Linked DNA regions of Oryctolagus cuniculus. The protein of the gene in region 3 interacts with the protein of the main gene of each other region in a biochemical or structural test. Links are inferred from orthologs where the notes say so. Each region holds a gene or a part of one and is shown on either strand. Other genes may lie near its edges. The genes, in order: NXF1, KPNB1, NUP98, NUP88 and NUP155.

Region 1 (3,514 bases), about 54 Mb from region 3:
TGCTGCCTTTTACCATTTGCATAGTTTGTCCTCTGGGCTTTGTGTTTGGAAGGATGTTCTGCCAAACACATTGAACTCATAGTTTCTCATCTGACCACAGACAGCTGTGAGCCCCTGTGTATTTTATCTGTCTTCACAGTAAACTTAGGAAGTGAATATTATTATAATATTTTCAGATGAAGAAACTGGTCCATGGCCAGTAGTAAACTCAAGATGAAAACCCAGACAGTCCGACTCCAGAGCCAAGCCCTTAACCAGGATGGGAGCCACTTCCTGTGATCTGCCACTGCCTTTCAGATTCTGAAAACATCCTGAGGACTGATTCTACCCTCCAATTACCATGCTGCTGGCCATGAACTGGGATTGGTACCCAACCTGGTAAACCGGGAACTTACCCTGAATTGCTGGCAGGAACGGCAATGAATGTCCGAGTAAAGGCTCGCAAAGAATCCCGGGACTTTCCATCCACTGCAAAGAGAGCGGCAACCACCTTTTAGAGGCACTTGTGCTTTATGTTTAGAAATAGCTTCTCAGCTCTCTGTCTTCTATGTTATAAAGAACCCCGCGTGGGCCACACTGGGATAACTATGTCATGTGCAGGGGAGTGTAGGGGGGGCAAAGGGTCAGAGGTCAGAAAGGATAATAATACTAACAACTACTAACCCACTGACAGAGCACTTGTGTATTGTGCCAGGGGTAAAGTACTTTAAAAGTCACTTCATTTACTTCCTATGGCACCATTAAGACCTGGCTGTTACCAACTCCATCTCAGAATACAAAGGAAGATGCTGATGAAGCTCAGAGATAATAACTTGCACACAGATGCACAGAATCAAGATTGAGATGGAAAACCAGACCTTTCTGACTCCAAAGTCTGTGTCCTCCTAATCTATCCCAGGCTTTTCCTATACTGCAGACAAGATAGGTGGAGAAGGCAGGCCCAAGCACAATGGCTTGGTGGCAGAATGGGAGGAGATCAGGAAAGAAAAGGGGACAGAAGGTAGCTGAGAAACTAAGAGTGCTGAAGAAGATTCTGGATGGAGGAGGGACCATGCTATAACCTCAGGACCCCCCCAAATTCTCACCTTCCTTAAAGACACCGTTGACAGAAAAACACAGCAATGTATTCTGAAAAAGAAGCATTAGGGACACTGGAGGCTTCTTGGTAGGACCTGAGCCCCTTTGCCTCTTAAATGCTTCCCTCCACCCTCACCCCCAATTTAAGGCGTCTATCAGGAAAGAAATAGGCACTTACGGTCTGGGCGCTTATGTCTACTACAAAGGAATTGACGTCATGCTGAGTTTTGGGCAACTCATTGAGGAAGGCAACCACGTTGAGACGTGTGTGCTTCAGCAATCGGAACCGCAGTGCTGGAGGTGGAGGAGGAAGGGAGTTGGGGCTGCCAAACCATCCTAAGTGCTCCGATTCCCTCCCATCCTGTTTTGCTCACATCATACACTTACTAGGGTCTTTAAGCTTCTTCACATTTCTGCTATCCTTGAAGTACTCTGCCAAGCTGCTTCTAGTGGAAAAAGAGGCATTGGTCCGAACACTGGTTGCTAGCAGAGCTGGTCCCTTCCTGCTGGGAAACCCTGAAGGCTTGGGCAGGTTCTGGGACGTGAACTCACCGGCCGGGGTTCTGGGGGATGAAAGGAATGCTCAGGGAACAGCAGGCCCCATCATGATAGGCATCCAGGAGCCCCTGTCGGTCTCCAGAGTCATAAATTGCATAATACCTGTGGGAGGAAAAAAAGAAAAAGGGAAACTCTAAGCTCTGCAGCCACAGAGGGACTTAGCAGCTCCCAAGAATGAACCGGGCTTTGGACAGCCAAACCCCTCTGCAGCCTTGGGGCCCTGGGATACTTACTGCTGCAAGAAGTGCAGGACCAGACTCTTCAGGTTTTCTGTTCCAAAATAGCTTCCCTGGAATCAAACAGATATTAGGACCATGGAACCAGTACCCCCACCCCCACATTCTAGCTATGTCCCCGTTCTCACCTTGCAGGGTGGCAACAGTGTTGGGGCTTCAACATCAAAGGCAATTGGTGGGGGTAACTCATGGCCATCCTATGCAGATAAAGTGAAAGGTGAGTATACACCAGAGGAAAAATGGCTACACGCTTACCTAGATGGAAGAGCTACAAATGACAGGCAAGAAGTGTGAAAGAAGTATGAAAAGTGTCCATGAACCCTGACATATGCAACTTTTGCCTAGCAGCATTTCCTGGGAAGCAGGATTATAGCTTTTGTCAGAGGGAGTGGGAGATATTATACTCTTTAGAAGAAAATGAAAACAGCTGTCAACTTACCAGGCGTAACAACTTGGGGAATCGTTCACGAATGGCGCTGTCAAGAATGGGACAGAAGTGAGTGATGCTTCAGGGCCACCGTGCCTCCTGGGCTGCTATAGGAGCAAATACACCAGGGCCCAAGGGTAGCCCATACCATCCTGCTCATCCCCCCACTCCTCCCCAGCCTGTGCTCAGAGAAAAAATGGCCCACACTCCCCACCTGACCCAGGGCTCCCAGACATGGACTGCCTTGAAGGCTGTCACATTTCTCTCTGCCTAACCCCAAGTGCCACAAGAGTAGCACTCTCAGCCCAGGCTTTAAGCCCAGGCCATCCTTCCCCTCCCTGCCCCCCTTACCTTCCACCTACTCACCTGTGCAGCCCAGGGAGAAGGGAATGGGGTGGGAGCCCAGGGGCTCCGCTGCCTCACCAGGTATCCATCAGTTCTGCCAGGTCTGGCCTTGGCCAAGACCAGAGCACACCACAGGATGGCACAGGATGTTGGGGCAGGGAGATGAGCAAGGCGGGGCTCATGGGGAGGGGAGGTAACAGAAAAAGACAGGAAAAGAAGAGGAAGCAAAAAGGGAGAATGGGATGGGACAAGTGAGAGACAGAGGAGGCAATGGGAAGTAGGGAGGAAAAGGCAAGAGAAAGCCAAGAAAAACAAAAGAGCGACAAAGCAAGGAGGCATTTCCATCAAAGAGGATAGGAGAGGAAGACACCTGGATACAGCCTTTTCCTTTAGCTGCCCTTTCCCTGTGGTCCAAGGCAGAAATGGGGAAGAAATCTTTGCTGTGGTGAGCGGGCAGTTGCTATTGGCCAGGTCTCTATCTGCCACCTGGGTCCCGATCTGAGCTGGGTAGGCGTGGGAAGCAAAGCAGCCACGGGGGCAGGAGACAGCCCTCAGAAGGGGTGAGGGTTCATACCCCTGCAAAGTTGGGGGGGTGAGGGTCTGTGCCCCACCTCTGTTGGCCCCCAAGTTCTCTCCTGATGGCCCCTCTGCGACTGTGCCTGTCTTAGGTTGTTCCTTCCCAGAGGAATCTTACCCGTCTCTGGCTAACCAGCCATCCTCCGGGGCCAAGCAGGGTGACGTGAGGTGTGCGAGTGAGAGCGGGGCAGTGCCCCTGACAGGGTCAGTTCTCTGTCTCCTTGGTAGCCTATGCCCCCGTGGCCTCCACGCCCAGCACCTTCCTTGGGATTCCCACGCCTGCTGGCGAGACCAC
Region 2 (3,946 bases), on a different chromosome or scaffold from region 3:
TCAAAGAGTTCTTGATTTGTAGACCAGCTGCAACTCTGGCAACCTGACTGTTTCCTGGATTTGCTAGCACTCTGGACAGTTCCACAAGGAAAGTGGGCTGTTAAGAGAACATGCATTGGCCAATGAAAATCTCTTGGGATTTCAATAACTGAAGTTCATCAAGCACCCAAATCATGGGTGGATGCAGGAAGCACACACTTTTGGGACATACCAGGAACTCTAAACCATCTACTTCAAGATCCCCATAAAAGTTATTTGATATACAAGGAGGCCACCCGTCTTCGCATGTAGCCAAGCACTTACTTAGGAGATACATTATTTTCCTATCAAGATCATCCTCAGTGCCCCAATCTCCCTAACAGATCGCCAGAATTTAAGCAAATCTGACAAGCACATTCTTCATGTGTGCTGAAGCGTTCCAAGCACCCAGAACCACCTCTGATACTCAATAAATATTTGTTGAATGAATAAATGTTATGACGGGTAGAAATTAAAATTGCTTCTCTGAATTTCAAAAAGCTTAGTCCAAAAAGAATGATGGTTTGAGCCCCTGGGAGCAGTTAATCTCTTATAAAAAATGGAATACTTAAGCCTGAAGCAGACTTGGGTACCTAATCCTCTGTATTTTACTTGCGGGGTGTTCAGCAGAGGGAGACCAAAGGAAAAAGCCAATCGATAAGGGAAAGTAGTAGATACTTAGAAACAGGAAAAAACCAAACAGACAAAAATGTCCAGGCAAGTCATTTAAGGAAAATGACTATGCTTAACTCAACAGTCAATACACCAAGGGCTCCTTAGACTTGAGCTGTCTACTGAACACAGTGGATCCCTAAAAAGCACAATCTTCTAACCCACAGGTTCCAAGCTACTTGCTTCACAATTCTATCCCATACCAAAAAAAGAAAAAAGAAAAAAAAAAGCCTCATCCAAACAACAGGAAAAGCCAAACGCAGTACACTTTCTTACCACGGGCAAGTGCCGCAATCACAGCAAGAGAGAATTCTTCAAAAGTTGTGTTAATTACGCACCACTGAAGAATGTCAGGAATAAGAGAAAAAGCTGCTTGCAAGTCAGCAAACCCACACACAGGAATACACCCTGAATGGAATGACTGGTCTACACCAGGGGAAAAATCTTTTGTAGGGCAAGTTCAAGATAAAAGAGGTGTAAAACTGGCACGTGGAAGGACAAGAACAGCCAAACGCAGCTTGTAGAAAATAAGCCTTGTCACTTTGTTGTTGCTGACGTGCCTTCCCCAGAGGACACGTTTGGTTACAGCGTCATTTAGCCCTCACTACCTCGCACCTTTAAAAGATGTCCAGTATCATCCACCGCTCCCTCTTCTCCCCATCCCCCAGCAGGAGAAGGAAACAAGCTGCACCAGACCGTTCCAACCAATCAACCCTGCATTTTTGTAGGGAGCTCCAGCCTCCGGCGGAGCTATCTTCATTTTCCCTGCACCCCCTGACTTCGGAAATGAGAAATGAGGACTTTCCTCTATTTCATTAAAAATAGGCCCGATCTCCAGGACAAGCCTCAGTATGTCGCCTGGGCGCAGGTCCCTAACGATGAGGTCTCTAGTCATCGGGGCCAGGAAAAACGGGGAGACCTCCACAAAAGCCCCAAGAGAGGGCCAACTAGGCAGGAGAGGGAGAGAAATACCAATGGGAAGGGTTCAGAGGCAGCCGGGGGTGCAGGCCTGGCCAGGAGCACAGAGCAAAGCAAACGCTCTGGGAAGAAGTGGGGAGAGCCGCAGGGCCCCCGGGACAGGAAGGAGAAGCCGGCTGGGCCAGAGCAGGGCGGGCAGCCGGCCTCCGAGCTTCCACATGGCCCCTAGGCCCGGCTCCCCAACCCCCACCCTTGCTGAACACGCAGCGCCGCGCAACCTAACTTCCCTCCCCTCGCTCTTTCTCCCTCCCGCTGCACCGCCGCCCTCAGGCCGCGCGGCGATTGGGCGGCAGTCACCCCGGCGCGCCGCGCCATTGGCCGGCCGCGCGGCCCGGGGCGGGACACACCCACCGGCTTCCCGACGGCGGGGTTAGGTTGGACCGGGCGCGGGGGGGGCGCGGAGGAGAGGGGGACGGGGCGGGGGGAGGGGGACGGGATGGGGCGGGGTAGGTTCCCGAGGCCTGGGCCTCCGGGAGGGCGGGAAGGCCCCGCACGCAGGGAACGGGGACGCGGCGGGCTGGGGCGCGGCGGGGCGGCACGCACCAGGTTCTCCACGGCCGCACGCTCCAGGAACTTCTGCGCCGCTTCCAGTTCCAGCCGATCTGGGGGGAGGAGAGTGGGGACGGGAGCGGGGTCAGAGGGGCCGGGGCTCCCCCCTCCCCCACCCCAACTCACCTCAGCGCGACCCCGGCCCCCGAGTCCTACCGGGAGACACGGTCTTCTCGAGGATGGTGATCAGCTCCATGGCGGAGGTGGCGGCGGCGGCTGCTCCTCCGAAGACGACGGTCCGGCCTCTCGGGCGGCGGCTCCGACTGGGGATGGGGGTTGGGGGTCGGGTGGGAAGGGAGGGTGGGGTGGGGGGCGGGGGTCACCACACGCCCATTCACCGGCTCGCTGAGAGTCGTCCCTCCGGCTCCCCTTCCTCCCGTTTCCTTCCTTCCTCCCTCCTAAAATGCTGCTGGCGGCGCGGCAGCTGCTCCTCTGGCGGCGGGGGAGGGACCCCACGGGCAGCTCAGAGCGCGGCTGGTGCTCGGGTGGCGGAGGGAGAAAGAAGGAAGGGAGGCAGTCAGTGAACGGGCGGCGCGCAGGGAGGGAGAGAGAGGGAGGGAGGAAGGCGGAGGGATATTCGGGCCGGACCTCTCCGCGGCGGCACCGCGCTCCGCGGCGATTGGCTGCCGCCTTGGCCACGCGGAATCCCCAATTGGCCAGGCGGTCAGCGTTGAAGGGCCGCCGTGCGTCCATTCGCCCGCTAGTTTGAAGGCCCGGGTTGGCTGGGCGGGCAGGAGAATGCGGCTCGCGGATTGGCCTGGGGGAGGGAAGTTGGGGTGGGGCAGGCGGGAGCAAGCCACTGATTGGGTCGCCGTGGTAAAGGCCTTGAGCTCAGACCGGCTGGGCGCTGGGAGGAGGGTGGGCTCAAAGCGAGACCCGCGGCCCGCGCGATTGGCTGGGGTGCTAGACGTTGATAGGATAGGGCGCCCGGGAGAGGAGTTCGGGGTCGGGGCGCCGAAAGGCGGGAGGCGCCTGGCCGCTGTAGGAGCCCCGACGCGAGGCACGCTGGGACGCCCCCGGGAAGGGGCGGGGCTGGGCCCCTGCAGCCCGGGCTGCGGTTGGGGAGGCGCAGGCCCTCGGAGGGGCGTGGGGAGGGAGGGCTTGGCGGGCCTGAGCGGGGGAGGGGGAGACCGTTAAAGTCCGGCACCGCGCCCACAGGAAGCTGCTTGGGCGACGAGCTAACTCCACTTGTTGCCAGACTCTCGGCTGGGGAAGACCTTGAAGACCATGTGGTCCAACTTCCAATGTGCAGATGTGGAAAGTAAACCCAGAGGGGATGGGACTTGTCCAAAGTCGCAGCAGCCGGCTAGCGGCTTGGTCAGGGCTGTCCTCGGGGACTCTGGGCTGCCCTTGACCCTACAGGCGTCTTGCCTCCCCGCTCCAGGAGTCCCCTTAGGCCATTCGTAGGGTTTGAGACCTGTTCTGAAGTCTGACTTAGGGAAGGGCTAAGAGACTCCCGTTAGATCCCTGTCCATAGCTACCGGGTACCTGAAGTAGAAGTGTTTCGTTCACGCTGCAGGGGTACCCTTGTACACGCACATCCTCGAATCAAAGAATGTGCATAGGCCAAAAGCTCCGCGGTTCTTGGCCTTGGAAAGTTCAGAGTCCTGGGAAAAACTCAAGCCCTCCCCCCCCCCCCTTGGTAGGAAAATGCACATAGAGAACATGTGTGTCGGGTTTCTTGGCTTCTCCAGTATTGGCAGGTGGGCTCCAGGTTGATTTCCTAAGC
Region 3 (3,514 bases):
CATTTTTGTAAGTAAGAAAACTGGTTTCAAGTAAGTGGTAGCTTGTACAAACTCAAAAAATCTACCAAATACCAGGACTGGCAGGGAAAGTACAGGGAGGTCTGTTACCAGTACTAAGCCCATACCAAAATCCCAAATGTGGGGGGCAGGCATTGCAGAGCAGTGTGTTAAGTCACTGCCTATGATACCAATGCTTTATTGGAGCATTGGTTCAAGTCCCAGGTACACTCCTTCTAGTCCAGCTCCCTGCCAATACATCTTGGAAAGCAGCAGCAGATGGCCCAAGTACTTGCAGCCCCTGCCATCCACATGGGAGACCTGGATGGGGTTCCTGGCTCATGGCTTTGGTCTGACTCAGCCTCGGCCCTTGATGTCATTTGGGGAGAGAACCAATGGACTGAAGATCTCTCTCTCTCTCGTTTCTCCCTTTCCCTCTGTCATTCTGCTTTTCATATAATTAATTATATTATATAATATATATTAATTATATAATTATAAATAATAAAAACTTTAAATAAAAATTCCAAATGTGTGAAGATTACACATGGTTAATTCTTATATATTTATGTTACTAAAAACACACACACACACATACACACACAACAAATCCATGATAGGATTTTGGATGTTTTTTAAAGAACTGTTAAATGTTTGAACAGAGATGTATTTCCCCTGAGTGGACATTACACAATCTATAAATGTATCAAAAAGTCAAATGGAACACCATGTCTGATAAAAGGAGACAGGACTGTGGCACAGCAGGTTATGTTGCTGCCTCTAATACCAGGATCCCATGGGTGCTGGTTTGAGTCCCACCTGCTCCACTTCTAATGCAGTTCCCTTTTAATGCATCTGGGAAAGCAACAGAAGATGGTTTAAGTACTTGGGAGATACACCCATGTGGGAGACCTGCACGAAATTCCAGACTCCTGGGTTTGGCCTGGCTCAGTTCCATTGTTGCAGACATTTGGGGGTCTCAAAGAGCAGATGGAAGCTTTCTATCTCTCTTTCAAATAAATAAGTAAATAAATCTTTTTAAAAAATTCAAAATAACTTTCTTAGTCCTTATAAGAGCTTAGTAAGATCAAAGATCAAAACTCAAATTCCTACCTTCTGTTACGAGTTAAAGAAAAAAATATTGAAAATTCTTATGATTGCACATGTACTTTTCTGAGGAAAAGTTCTTATTAGAATTGCCTAATCCGGGCCGGCGCCGCGGCTCACTAGGCTAATCCTCCGCCTAGCGGCGCCGGCACACCGGGTTCTAGTCCCGGTCGGGGCGCCGGATTCTGTCCCGGTTGCCCCTCTTCCAAGCCAGCCCTCTGCTGTGGCCAGGGAGTGCAGTGGAGGATGGCCCAGGTGCTTGGGCCCTGCACCCACATGGGAGACCAGGAAAAGCACCTGGCTCCTGGTTCCTGCCATCGGATCAGCGCGGTGCGCCGGCCGCAGCGCGCCGGCCGTGGCAGCCATTGGAGGGTGAACCAACGGCAAAGGAAGACCTTTCTCTCTGTCTCTCTCTCTCTCACTGTCCACTCTGCCTGTCAAAAATAAAAAAAAAAAAAAATAAAAAAATAAAAAAAAAAAAAAGAATTGCCTAATCCACAATTTTTTAAAAGGATTTATTAACTGAATTGTCTGAAAAGCAGAGTGACAAAGACTTAGAGAGACCCCAAGAAAGAGAGAGAAATGTCTTTAACCTGCTTATTCATTCCCCAGATGGCCACAACAGCCAGGTTTGTGCTAGGTCAAACTCAGGAGTCAGAAACTTCATCCCAGTCTCCCAGAAGGGTGGCAGCAGCCCAAGCAATTGGGCCATCATCCACTGCCTTCCCAGCTGCATTAGCAAGAAGATGGATTGAAAGTGGAGCAGTAGCCGTGCCGCCGTTGCTCTCTAACGCCAGCGCGGCCTCTCGCTCGCCGAGCTCCAGCTGAAGGAGAAGTGTGGTAAGTAGGGAGGTCTTTATACCATGGCTCATACAGGGCAGACTGCCGCAAATTGACTGGTGGTAAAGCACCCAGGAAGCAACTGGCTACAAAAGCCGCTCGCAAGAGTGCGCCCTCTACTGGAGGGGTAAAAAAAAAAAAAGTGGAGCAGCATGGGGCCAGAGCTGTGGCATGGCAGGTAAAGCCGCTGCCCCCACTGCCAACATCCCATATGGGTGCCGGTTTGAGTTTTGGGAGCCAGGAATTCAATCCCAGGTAGCAGAGATACAACTATATAAGCCATCACCTGCTGCCTCCCAGGGAACTTGAATGGATTCCAATCCAGAAATTTCATTATAGTATGCAAGTATCCCAAATGACATCTTAACTGCTGCTCCAATGACCACAACTTAATATTCACTTAACTGTTCAAGTGTTCTGTTTATAGTAATACCCTACCTCCAATTCCACCAAGTTACTAGTCCACTAGGCAAAAAGCTTAGGGAAAATTGGAATCTTGAATCTTGATGAATTCTATGAATTATCAAAAGGCAAAGATTTCCTCATAAGGCACTGAGATAGCATTAGGACTACACAGAGAGTCCAATGTAGGACAACTTGTTAAATCCTCAAAGTAACTTGTGATAAAAATTTGGAAATTGGAACTTATTTAATTCATACTCATAAGCAAACAAAAGCATGACCCTAAGCAAAGCACAAATACTATACTCTCCATACAATTTCTGCATCTTCACCAACAGAAGTAATTATAGTTCTTAAAAAACTGGACACTCCTAATATAAGAGTGTGAGCTCTCTTAACATTCTTATGTCAGAGGTATGGCTGTTAGGGAGATACATTCTGGAAATCTACTCAGCACAGGAGATATATGAAACGTGGAACTTGATGACTCTACAGCTTTCTTGTAAAACAGCGTATTTATACAATACCTAGTGAACGAGATTTTGATGGGTGGGATGCTGAAATGGGGAGTCTGGGAGAACAGATTTCTTGAGAAGCATCTGCTTTGGAAGGAACATGACTGAAGCGCTGATCCAGCATCATGTCTATATCTTCTTCATCAGCAAGCAGTGATGCTTTCATGATCTAAAAAGGCAATATGTATATACACAGACACACAATGAATGTGCTCTCTGAAACTGAAAGGCTACTAAAAGATACAGTTTACAACAACCAAAAAAAATTACTTCTTAAGATAGTGTCCAGAAATACTGTAATATTTGTGTTACTGATTTCATTACAATGTGTCTCACCAGAACCTGGCATATAGCAACTGCTGAGGTCTTAATAAATAATTTTAAAATCAAACATAAGCACAAGCCAAAAGCTAAACTCATGCCTTTTGGCATGGGCAAGGTGAAGTAGAGACAGGGTTTACAGAAACTTTAAAATTTTGTGGAACACTTTACAAAGCCTCAAAAACAACCTTCAAAGTAGAAAAAGTTATGTTTTACAGAAGTCAGTGCTCACAGACGTTAAATGACTGTCACACAGTAATAAATTCACAAAACTGGGATTAGAATCCAGATCACCTGATACTAATACCCTTAAAAAACCAGAAGCTCTACAT
Region 4 (4,271 bases), on a different chromosome or scaffold from region 3:
GTCCCACCCATTGCAGCCATTTGGGGAGTAAACCAGTGGATGGAAGATCTCTTTCTACCTCTCTGTTAACTCTTTCAAATAAATAAAAATAAACCTTAAAAAAAAAAGTCCTTGAAAAACTCACGTCCACTTGTACTTCCTATTTCCTAAGACCACCTCAGATTCCCGTTTTCTTTTCTTTCCCTGTTCAGTGAAAGCCGTGAGACTGTCAATGTACTATTTACCTGGTACATGAAGAATCGCATGAAGCCAAAATTCTTTTAGACAACTCTACTCTGAATGAGATTTCTACTTACTGCTGCAATGTCTACAAGCCTGCTTTGTTTTTTATTTGTCCGTCAGTGATTCTAATCAAAGCGTTTCTTCTCAAAACAATTCTGAGGCACTTCCGTGGTTCTTCTCTGCTTTCTCCTCATGCTCAACCCCCAACTTCTTCCTACCTGATTCCACAGCCTAACTCAAACTGAAGAGGCCGCTTTGCTTCTGCTTCAGATACAATTCAATCACATGAGTTCATCTATGAAAATCACTTTATTTAGATTTCTGTTGTTCCTTTTTTTTTTTTGAAGATTTATTTATTTATTTGAAAGTCAGAGTTACACAGAGAGGAGAGGCAGAGAGAGAGAGAGGTCTTCTATCCACTCCCCAATTGGCTGCAACAGCCGGAGCTGTGCCGATCTGAAGCCAGGAGCCAGGAGCTTCCTCCGGGTCTCCCATGCAGGTGCAGGGGCCCGAAGACTTGGGCCATCTTCCACTGCTTTCCTAGGCCATAGGCAGAGCGCTAGATCGGAAGTGGAGCAACCGTCGGGCGGCTTTACCCACTATGCAACAGTGCCAGCCCCATGTTGTTACTGGTTTTAAAATCACTACTTTTTTTTTTTTTTTTTTAATTTAAGGTTGTAACTCATGGTAAATGGCTTTTCCTCACCAATCTGTGAGGTTTTCGAGATTCTGGAGGACTGAGGGTTGTTCAGTCAACAATATGTATTGAGAGGGGGTGTGTTCCAGGCACTCAGTCAAGTACCTGCCATACCAAAATTAACAAGGCAGACACACACCCTGCCTTAGTGCTTACAGCCTAGAAAAGACAACAGTTATATATCAATTTTGAATGTGTCGAACGCTGCTAGAATACTGCGCACTGAAGATCTGATAGTTACTCTTAACTGAAATTTTATACTAAGTAGATTGTAGGCTGGACCTATTTTCAAAGCTGCAGAAGCAATGCTAGCATCTCATTAAAATCAAAGCACTTTGGACCAGCCTTATGGCCTAATGGGCTAAGCCACAACCTGCAATGCCGGCATCCCACACATGCAACAGTTGGAGACCCAGCTGCTCCACATCCAATCCACCTCCCTGCTAATGCTCCTGGGAAAGCAGCTGAAGATGTCCCAAGTATTTGGGCCCCTGCACCCACGTGGGAGATCAGGAAGAAGCCCCTGGCTCTGGCCTGGTCCAGCCCAGGTCGTTGGGGAGTGGTCACTTGGGGAGTGAACCAGGATGGACAATCTCTCTTTCTCCACCTCTAACTCTGCCATTCAAATAAACAAAATACATTTAAAAAAAAATCAAATCACTGCTCATCAACAAGAACTGGACAGCAGCACACAACAGATGTCAGACGTTGGAAAGGGTGCCCTAAGTTTTTTTTTAAATCTTTATGAAAGCAGATCATGTATTACAAATAAACATTTTCATACAGCAATGTCCAATCGCAGCAAGCGTCCACTTCCACACGCTGACAACTTATCAAAAACAAACCAAAGTCCCTCCAACTCTGCGGAGGGTAGGGGAAAGACTCCCACAGAGGCTTCCTCCCCCAGGGCAGGCACCTGCTCCCAAGGCGACCCCGGCCCCGCGCTCTCGCACCGTCCCGGCCCTCCCCTCGGCCGCACCCCACTCACCACCCCGCTCCAAGCGGTGTGTCCCCGAGAGGACGCCCGCTCCCGCGAGAACCAGCCCACACCGGCCCCCTTGCCGAGAGCCCGCGCGGGGGGCACCTCCGCGACGGCCTGGCCCTACCTGGTACTGGGAGAGGGAGGGCTCCTCGCCGCCGCCGCGGAGGCCCCGAAGGCGCACGACTAAGAACGAGCTGCTTTCCCCGTCCCACAGGAAGAGATCTCCGCAGAGGCCGAAGACCAGGTTCCTCGTCAGCACCTGCGGCGGCGACGTGGGCAGTGATGACGACGTCTGTTTCTCGGCTTCGGCTGGGCTGTGATGTTTCAGTCCCTCCCGCAGCCGCAGGAACACGGCGTGGTTGGGAAGCCAGGTCTGCCACGGCTCACCGTCACCCACGACGCCATCGGCTGCCGCCATCTTGGCCCAACTGCTCGCCTCACTCGGGTTGCTCAGCCCGCCGCGGAGCGCAGCCAATCCGTGGCCAGCCGTCCACCGCTTCGTCCAATCATCGAGCAGGAAGCCCGGAAGCACGAGGCTAGCACGAGGAGGCGGGGCAAAAGGGGGATGCAGCCCATCAGCTAGGGGTATAGCCCGAGGGAGAGCCAATGGCCAGTCCAGGATTTACCCCGCAGCCAGGAGGGGGCGGGATGAGGAAGTCAACAGTATAGAGCCTGTTAACAAAGTTTGGGAGCGCCTGGACGTCTAGCGCCCGTGCAAAAGACTGAGAGCCCTACGTATCTAATTGTTGGCTGGATACTGCCAAGCATTCAGAACTTTCCTTCAAGACTTACCTCTTTCAGTCCGGGCTGGGTTGACCTCACGGCGTTAGCCCCCACCGCCCCATCCTTCGTCTCCGTGTTCTAGTACAACAATTCCCAGAACTCCCTGCGACCCACGTTCCACCGGCGTCCAGAAACTTCAACTCCCAGGGTTCTGTGCGCGCGCTTAGGGGCGGGGCTCTTGGCGGCGACTCACGCGAGGAGGAGATGGCCGGGCCGGCGGGGTCTCCACGCCGCTCGCTTTATAAACTGGTGGGCTCGCCGCCGTGGAAAGAGGCTTTCAGAAAAGTGAGTGTGGGCCCTGGGCCGTGGTCACTGCCCTCATCCGGGCCTTCGCCCCAGCCCCGCTGTGGGAAGCGGGTGCCGCTGGAGGCGACTCTGGAACCCAGGGCTCCCGCCCGTAGGTTTAGATCTGGATTTTCGATTTGCCCGCTCCCGGAGTTTTTGGCCCCCTGGTTTGAGATTGGCCTGGGTGCTCTCAGTGCCAGGAAAACTTGTTCTCGGGCTCGGGCTTCTTTTAAATCTGATGTAGTAGCCGCACCTTCCGAGCCGCCACCGTGTGGTGTGGTTGGGGGGTGCGGGGGGTCCCCCGAGACACGCACCTGTCTGCGTGCGCCACGGGAGACAGAAGTGTTTCTGACCTGGAGAGGAGCAAACAGGCTTAGAGGAAGAGCTGCATCTGCTGGGTGCCAGCAGAATTCTACCCCGCTCAGTTCTAGCTGCTCCTGAACCCCGCCTGGTTCCTAGAAAGCAACAGTGTGCATCTCCAGGAATCGCTGAAGTAGCCGCACGCTGCTCCGGACGCCCGCGTTCAGTATCCCTGTGCCGGCTCCGGAAGCGCCACCTTGGGCAGCACCTCCTGGTGTGGACCTGGCCCAGCCCTGGCTGTGTCGGGCATGGCGGGGGGAGGGGATGAACCATTGGATGGGAGATGTCTCTGTCTCTCTGTAGCTCTGCCCTTTGATTTAATTAAATGTATAAATAAAGCGGTTGGTATATTCCAGGAACACAGTGTGATTCTAGACAGACTGTATAGCACTTGGCTATTGACATTTTGAGGGAGATAATTGTTTGCTGTGGCTTCTACTCACGAGAAGCCAATAGTCCTACAACTGGAGTTGTGGCAACCAAAAGTTGTCTGTAAGCATTGCCAAGTGTCCCCTGGGGGACAGAGTCACCTTGAGCTGGGAGACCCTGTTGCACAGGAAAGTCTTGACCACACCCGTCTATCCCAACCACCGCTAGAGTAGCAAGCATGTGGAAACAATATGAAGGGCTTATGATAGGACAGTGAATGCTGAGATGTTGGGCTCCCAACCGGTCAGGAAGCTGGCATGGAAGATTAAATATGAAATGTGGGAATTGCAAGGTGTCCGGCGCATAACAAATCTTCCCAGGCAGACGAATCAATTAATTTACAGGCTTTTATTGGGATCCCGCTCCCGGGCGAGGTTCCCCGGTCCCAACAGAGCAGGGGCCGGGGAAGTCCTGTGTGAGAGATTGGGAGTGCTCCTTTTATAGAAATAGGGCGTGGGCGTTGAAGGTTGAGGCGGGTCTGATCCTCATTGGTTGACCTTTAGGCACCCGTGG
Region 5 (3,514 bases), on a different chromosome or scaffold from region 3:
AAAAAACCTTGGGTTTGTATCATATTGTCCCTTAGTAATGTTTGAATTTTATTATTCAACATTGGTTTTTATCTGCCTTTGAACAAATCTGCTTATTAAAAGTGGAGCTTTAAATGCTGTTACATTAGGGGCCAATGCTGTGGCACAATGGGTAAAGCCACTGCCTGCTAGTGCTGGCATCCCATATGGGCATCAGTTCGAGTTTCAGTTGCTCCACTTCCAATCCAGCTCTCTGCTATGGCCTAGGAAGCAGGAGAAGATGGCCCAAGTCCTTGGGCTCCTGCACCCACATGGGAGACCCAGAAAAGCTCCTGGCTCCTGATCTATTCAGTTCTGGCCATTACGGCCATTTGGGGAGTGAAGCACTGGAGGAAAGACCTTTCCCTCTGTCTGCCTTTGCTTCTCTGTAACTCTGCCTTTCAAATAAATAAATAAGTCTTTAAAAAAGTTGTTAAATTTTAAAACTAAAACCATAAATTTATAGAAATAAAAAGATGCGGCCGGCGCCGCAGCTCACTAGGCTAATCCTCCGCCTTGCGGCGCCGGCACATCGGGTTCTAGTCCCGGTCGGGGCACCGGATTCTGTCCCGGTTGCCCCTCTTCCAGGCCAGCTCTCTGCTGTGGCCAGGGAGTGCAGTGGAGGATTGCCCAAATGCTTGGGCCCTGCACCCCATGGGAGACCAGGAGAAGCACCTGGCTTCAGATTAGCGCGGTGCACCAGCCGCAGCACGCCGGCCACGGCAGCCATTGGAGGGTGAACCAACAGCAAAATAAATAAATAAATAAATAAATAAAAATATTTAAGTGGTATTATTACCTGAGTTCATTATAAAATTTTCTTTATCCTGTATGACTGTTTGATTGCCCAGAAGTGCTTAATTCTTGACTCTTCACCACTTTTTTTTTTTTTTTTTTTTTTTTTTTTTTGACAGGCAGAGTGGACAGTGAGAGAGAGAGACAGAGAGAAAGGTCTTCCTTTGCCGTTGGTTCACCCTCCAATGGCCGCCGCGGCTGGCGCACTGCGGCCGGTGCACCGCACTGATCCTATCGCAGGAGCCAGGTACTTCTCCTGGTCTCCCATGGGGTGCAGGGCCCAAGCACCTGGGCCATCCTCCACTGCACTCCCTGGCCACAGCAGGGAGCTGGCCTGGAAGAGGGGCAACCGGGACAGAATCCGGCGCCCCGACCGGGACTAGAACCCGGTGTGCCAGCGCCGCAAGGCGGAGGATTAGCCTAGTGAGCCATGGTGCCGGCCATTAGCTTGAATTTTAAAAAAGGAAAACAAAGTGTATGTTTAAAAGAAAAAACTGTCAACAAAAAACCCAAAACCACTCCTCAGGCACTGCTGGAAACCAGAGGACTTTTAACTTTAAAAAGTGGTGGGCTGGCGCCGCGGCTCAATAGGCTAATCTTCCACCTGTGGCGCTGGCACCCGGGGTTCTAGTTCCGGTTGGGGTGCCGGATTCTGTCCCAGTTGCCCCTCTTCCAGTCCAGCTCTCTGCTGTGGCCCGGGAGGGCAGTGGAGGATGGCCCAAGTGTTTGGGCCCTGTACCCCCATGGGAGACCAGGAGGAAGCACCTGGCTCCTGGCTTCAGATTGGCGCAGCGTGACGGCTGTAGTGGCCATTGGGGGGTGAACCAATGGAAGGAAGACCTTTCTCTGTCTCCCTATCTCACTGTCTAACTCTGCCTGTCAAAAAAAAAAAAAAAAAAAAAAAAAAAAAGTGGTGAAGAGTCAAGAATTAAGCACTTCTGGGCAATCAAACAGTCATACAGGATAAAGAAAATTTTATAATGAACTCAGGTAATAATACCACTTAAATATTTTTATTTATTTATTTATTATTTTTTATTTTTTTATTATTATTATTTTTTATTTTTTTGATACGGAGAGTTAGACAGTGAGAGAGACAGAAAAAGGTCTTCCTTTTCCCCTTGGTTCACCCCCCAGATGGCCGCTACAGCTGGTTTGCTACGCCAATCCGAAGCCAGGAGCAAGGTGCTTTCTCCTGCTCTCCCATGCGGGTGCAGGGCCCAAGCCCTTAGGTCATCCTCCACTGCCTTCCTGGGCCACAGCAGAGAGCTGGACTAGAAGAGGAGCAACCGGGAGAGAACCAGTGCCCCAGCTGGGACTAGAACCCAGGGTGCTGGCGCAGCAGGCAGAGGATTAGCCTAGTGAGCCACGGCGCCGGCACCACTTAATTCTAAATATTGTTAGTCTTATTATAAATTAGGACAACTGAACAGTTTGTATCTCCTAATAGTTGAAAGAAAAAAGCCTTACTGTGAAGTATACTATTCTTTCTGAAATAAATGGATCTGAACCCAACTAAGCCTACATAGACTTAACATCCATTTGATAGAAGACATATGAGGTAGGGCTGGTGTTGAGGTGAAGTGGGTTAAGCCACTGCCTGCAGCATCCCATATGGAAGATCTTTCTGTTTCTCCTCTCTCTGTAACTCTAACTCTCAAATACGTAAATAAGCAAGAGGATTTTATTGAGGCCAGTAAAAGAAATATAAACTGGTCATTTCCTATGAGAAACATCTTTTTTTCTTTTCTATTTAGATTTAATTTATTTATTTGAGACGGCAGTTACAGACAGAGAGGTCTTCCATCCACTGATTCACTTCCCAAATGGCTGAAATGCCTGGAGCTGGTCAGATTCAAGCCAGGAGCCAGGAGCTTCTTCTTAGTCTCCATAGCGGCCACTTGGGGGGTGAACCAACAGAAGGAAGATCTTTGTCTCTCTCACTGTCTAACTCTATCTGCCAAATAAATTTTAAAAATATATTTTAAATAAATAAATAAAGTTAAGAGTTCTCTCACATACCACTAAGAAGTTCTCATATACTGCAGAAGCTTGCGGAGTTGACCATATGATTCTCTCAAGTTATCATACTTTAGTGCATCTTGCTATGATATACTGAATCTACTGTAACCAAAATAATCCCTCCCAAGTCCAAGTGTAAGATGAAAAAGCATGCCAAAGAAAACAACATTGCTTGTAGCATTAACAGATCTTAAAACAAAGAAAAAAATCCTACCTTCTGAAGTTCTCCCACAATGAGAGTAAACTGATGTTCACAAAGAAGTTTCCATAAAGCCAGAGCCTGGTAGGATTTTCGAACCAACTGCTGGATTGCCTGAAGTGAAACCTTTTCACTCAGTTGAGCCTCTAAAGATAAAACACAATTAAAGAAATTTTATAAAAGTAACACAGTTTTTTTAAAAAAGATTTCACTTATTTATTTGAAAGGTGGTGGGGGCGGGGGGTAGTCTTCTATCCGTTGGTTCACTCCCTAGATGGCCGCACTGTCTGGAGCTGAACCAATCCAAAGCCAGAAGCCAGGAGCTTCTTCTGGGTCTCCCACAAGGACTTGGGCCATCTTCTACTGCATTCCCAGATCACAGCAGAGAGCTGGATTGGAAGTGGGGTAGCTGAGTCTCAAACTGGCACCCTTACGGGATGCTGGCACTGCAGGCAGTGACATTACCCACTGCACCACAGT

What was found.
Region 1: the proteins of NUP98 (region 3) and NXF1 form a complex in vitro, tested with the Homo sapiens proteins (5 studies listed by BioGRID and IntAct). The link is inferred for Oryctolagus cuniculus from reciprocal best matches to the Homo sapiens genes NUP98 and NXF1.
Region 2: the proteins of NUP98 (region 3) and KPNB1 form a complex in vitro, tested with the Homo sapiens proteins (3 studies listed by BioGRID). The link is inferred for Oryctolagus cuniculus from reciprocal best matches to the Homo sapiens genes NUP98 and KPNB1.
Region 4: the proteins of NUP98 (region 3) and NUP88 form a complex in vitro, tested with the Homo sapiens proteins (2 studies listed by BioGRID). The link is inferred for Oryctolagus cuniculus from reciprocal best matches to the Homo sapiens genes NUP98 and NUP88.
Region 5: the proteins of NUP98 (region 3) and NUP155 form a complex in vitro, tested with the Homo sapiens proteins (2 studies listed by BioGRID). The link is inferred for Oryctolagus cuniculus from reciprocal best matches to the Homo sapiens genes NUP98 and NUP155.

Annotation. Positions count from the first base shown.
Region 1 is NC_091432.1:8,795,912-8,799,425, reverse strand, and holds part of NXF1 (nuclear RNA export factor 1), read right to left. Parts: intron 2,348-3,514; coding exon 2,311-2,347; intron 2,069-2,310; coding exon 2,000-2,068; intron 1,925-1,999; coding exon 1,869-1,924; intron 1,738-1,868; coding exon 1,630-1,737; intron 1,524-1,629; coding exon 1,465-1,523; intron 1,372-1,464; coding exon 1,256-1,371; intron 1,129-1,255; coding exon 1,086-1,128; intron 469-1,085; coding exon 396-468; intron 1-395.
Region 2 is NC_091448.1:23,988,343-23,992,288, reverse strand, and holds the start of KPNB1 (importin subunit beta-1), read right to left. Parts: upstream 2,815-3,946; 5' UTR 2,414-2,814; coding exon 2,374-2,413; intron 2,271-2,373; coding exon 2,212-2,270; intron 98-2,211; coding exon 1-97.
Region 3 is NC_091432.1:63,190,053-63,193,566, reverse strand, and holds part of NUP98 (nuclear pore complex protein Nup98-Nup96), read right to left. Parts: intron 3,031-3,514; coding exon 2,874-3,030; intron 1-2,873. UniProt on the Homo sapiens protein: Plays a role in the nuclear pore complex (NPC) assembly and/or maintenance. NUP98 and NUP96 are involved in the bidirectional transport across the NPC. May anchor NUP153 and TPR to the NPC.
Region 4 is NC_091448.1:50,908,936-50,913,206, reverse strand, and holds the start of NUP88 (nuclear pore complex protein Nup88), read right to left. Parts: upstream 2,803-4,271; 5' UTR 2,694-2,802; intron 2,438-2,693; 5' UTR 2,320-2,437; coding exon 2,026-2,319; intron 1-2,025. Other genes in the region: RPAIN (RPA-interacting protein), read left to right, coding at 2,889-2,969. UniProt on the Homo sapiens protein: Component of nuclear pore complex.
Region 5 is NC_091445.1:62,776,795-62,780,308, forward strand, and holds part of NUP155 (nuclear pore complex protein Nup155), read right to left. Parts: intron 3,181-3,514; coding exon 3,050-3,180; intron 1-3,049.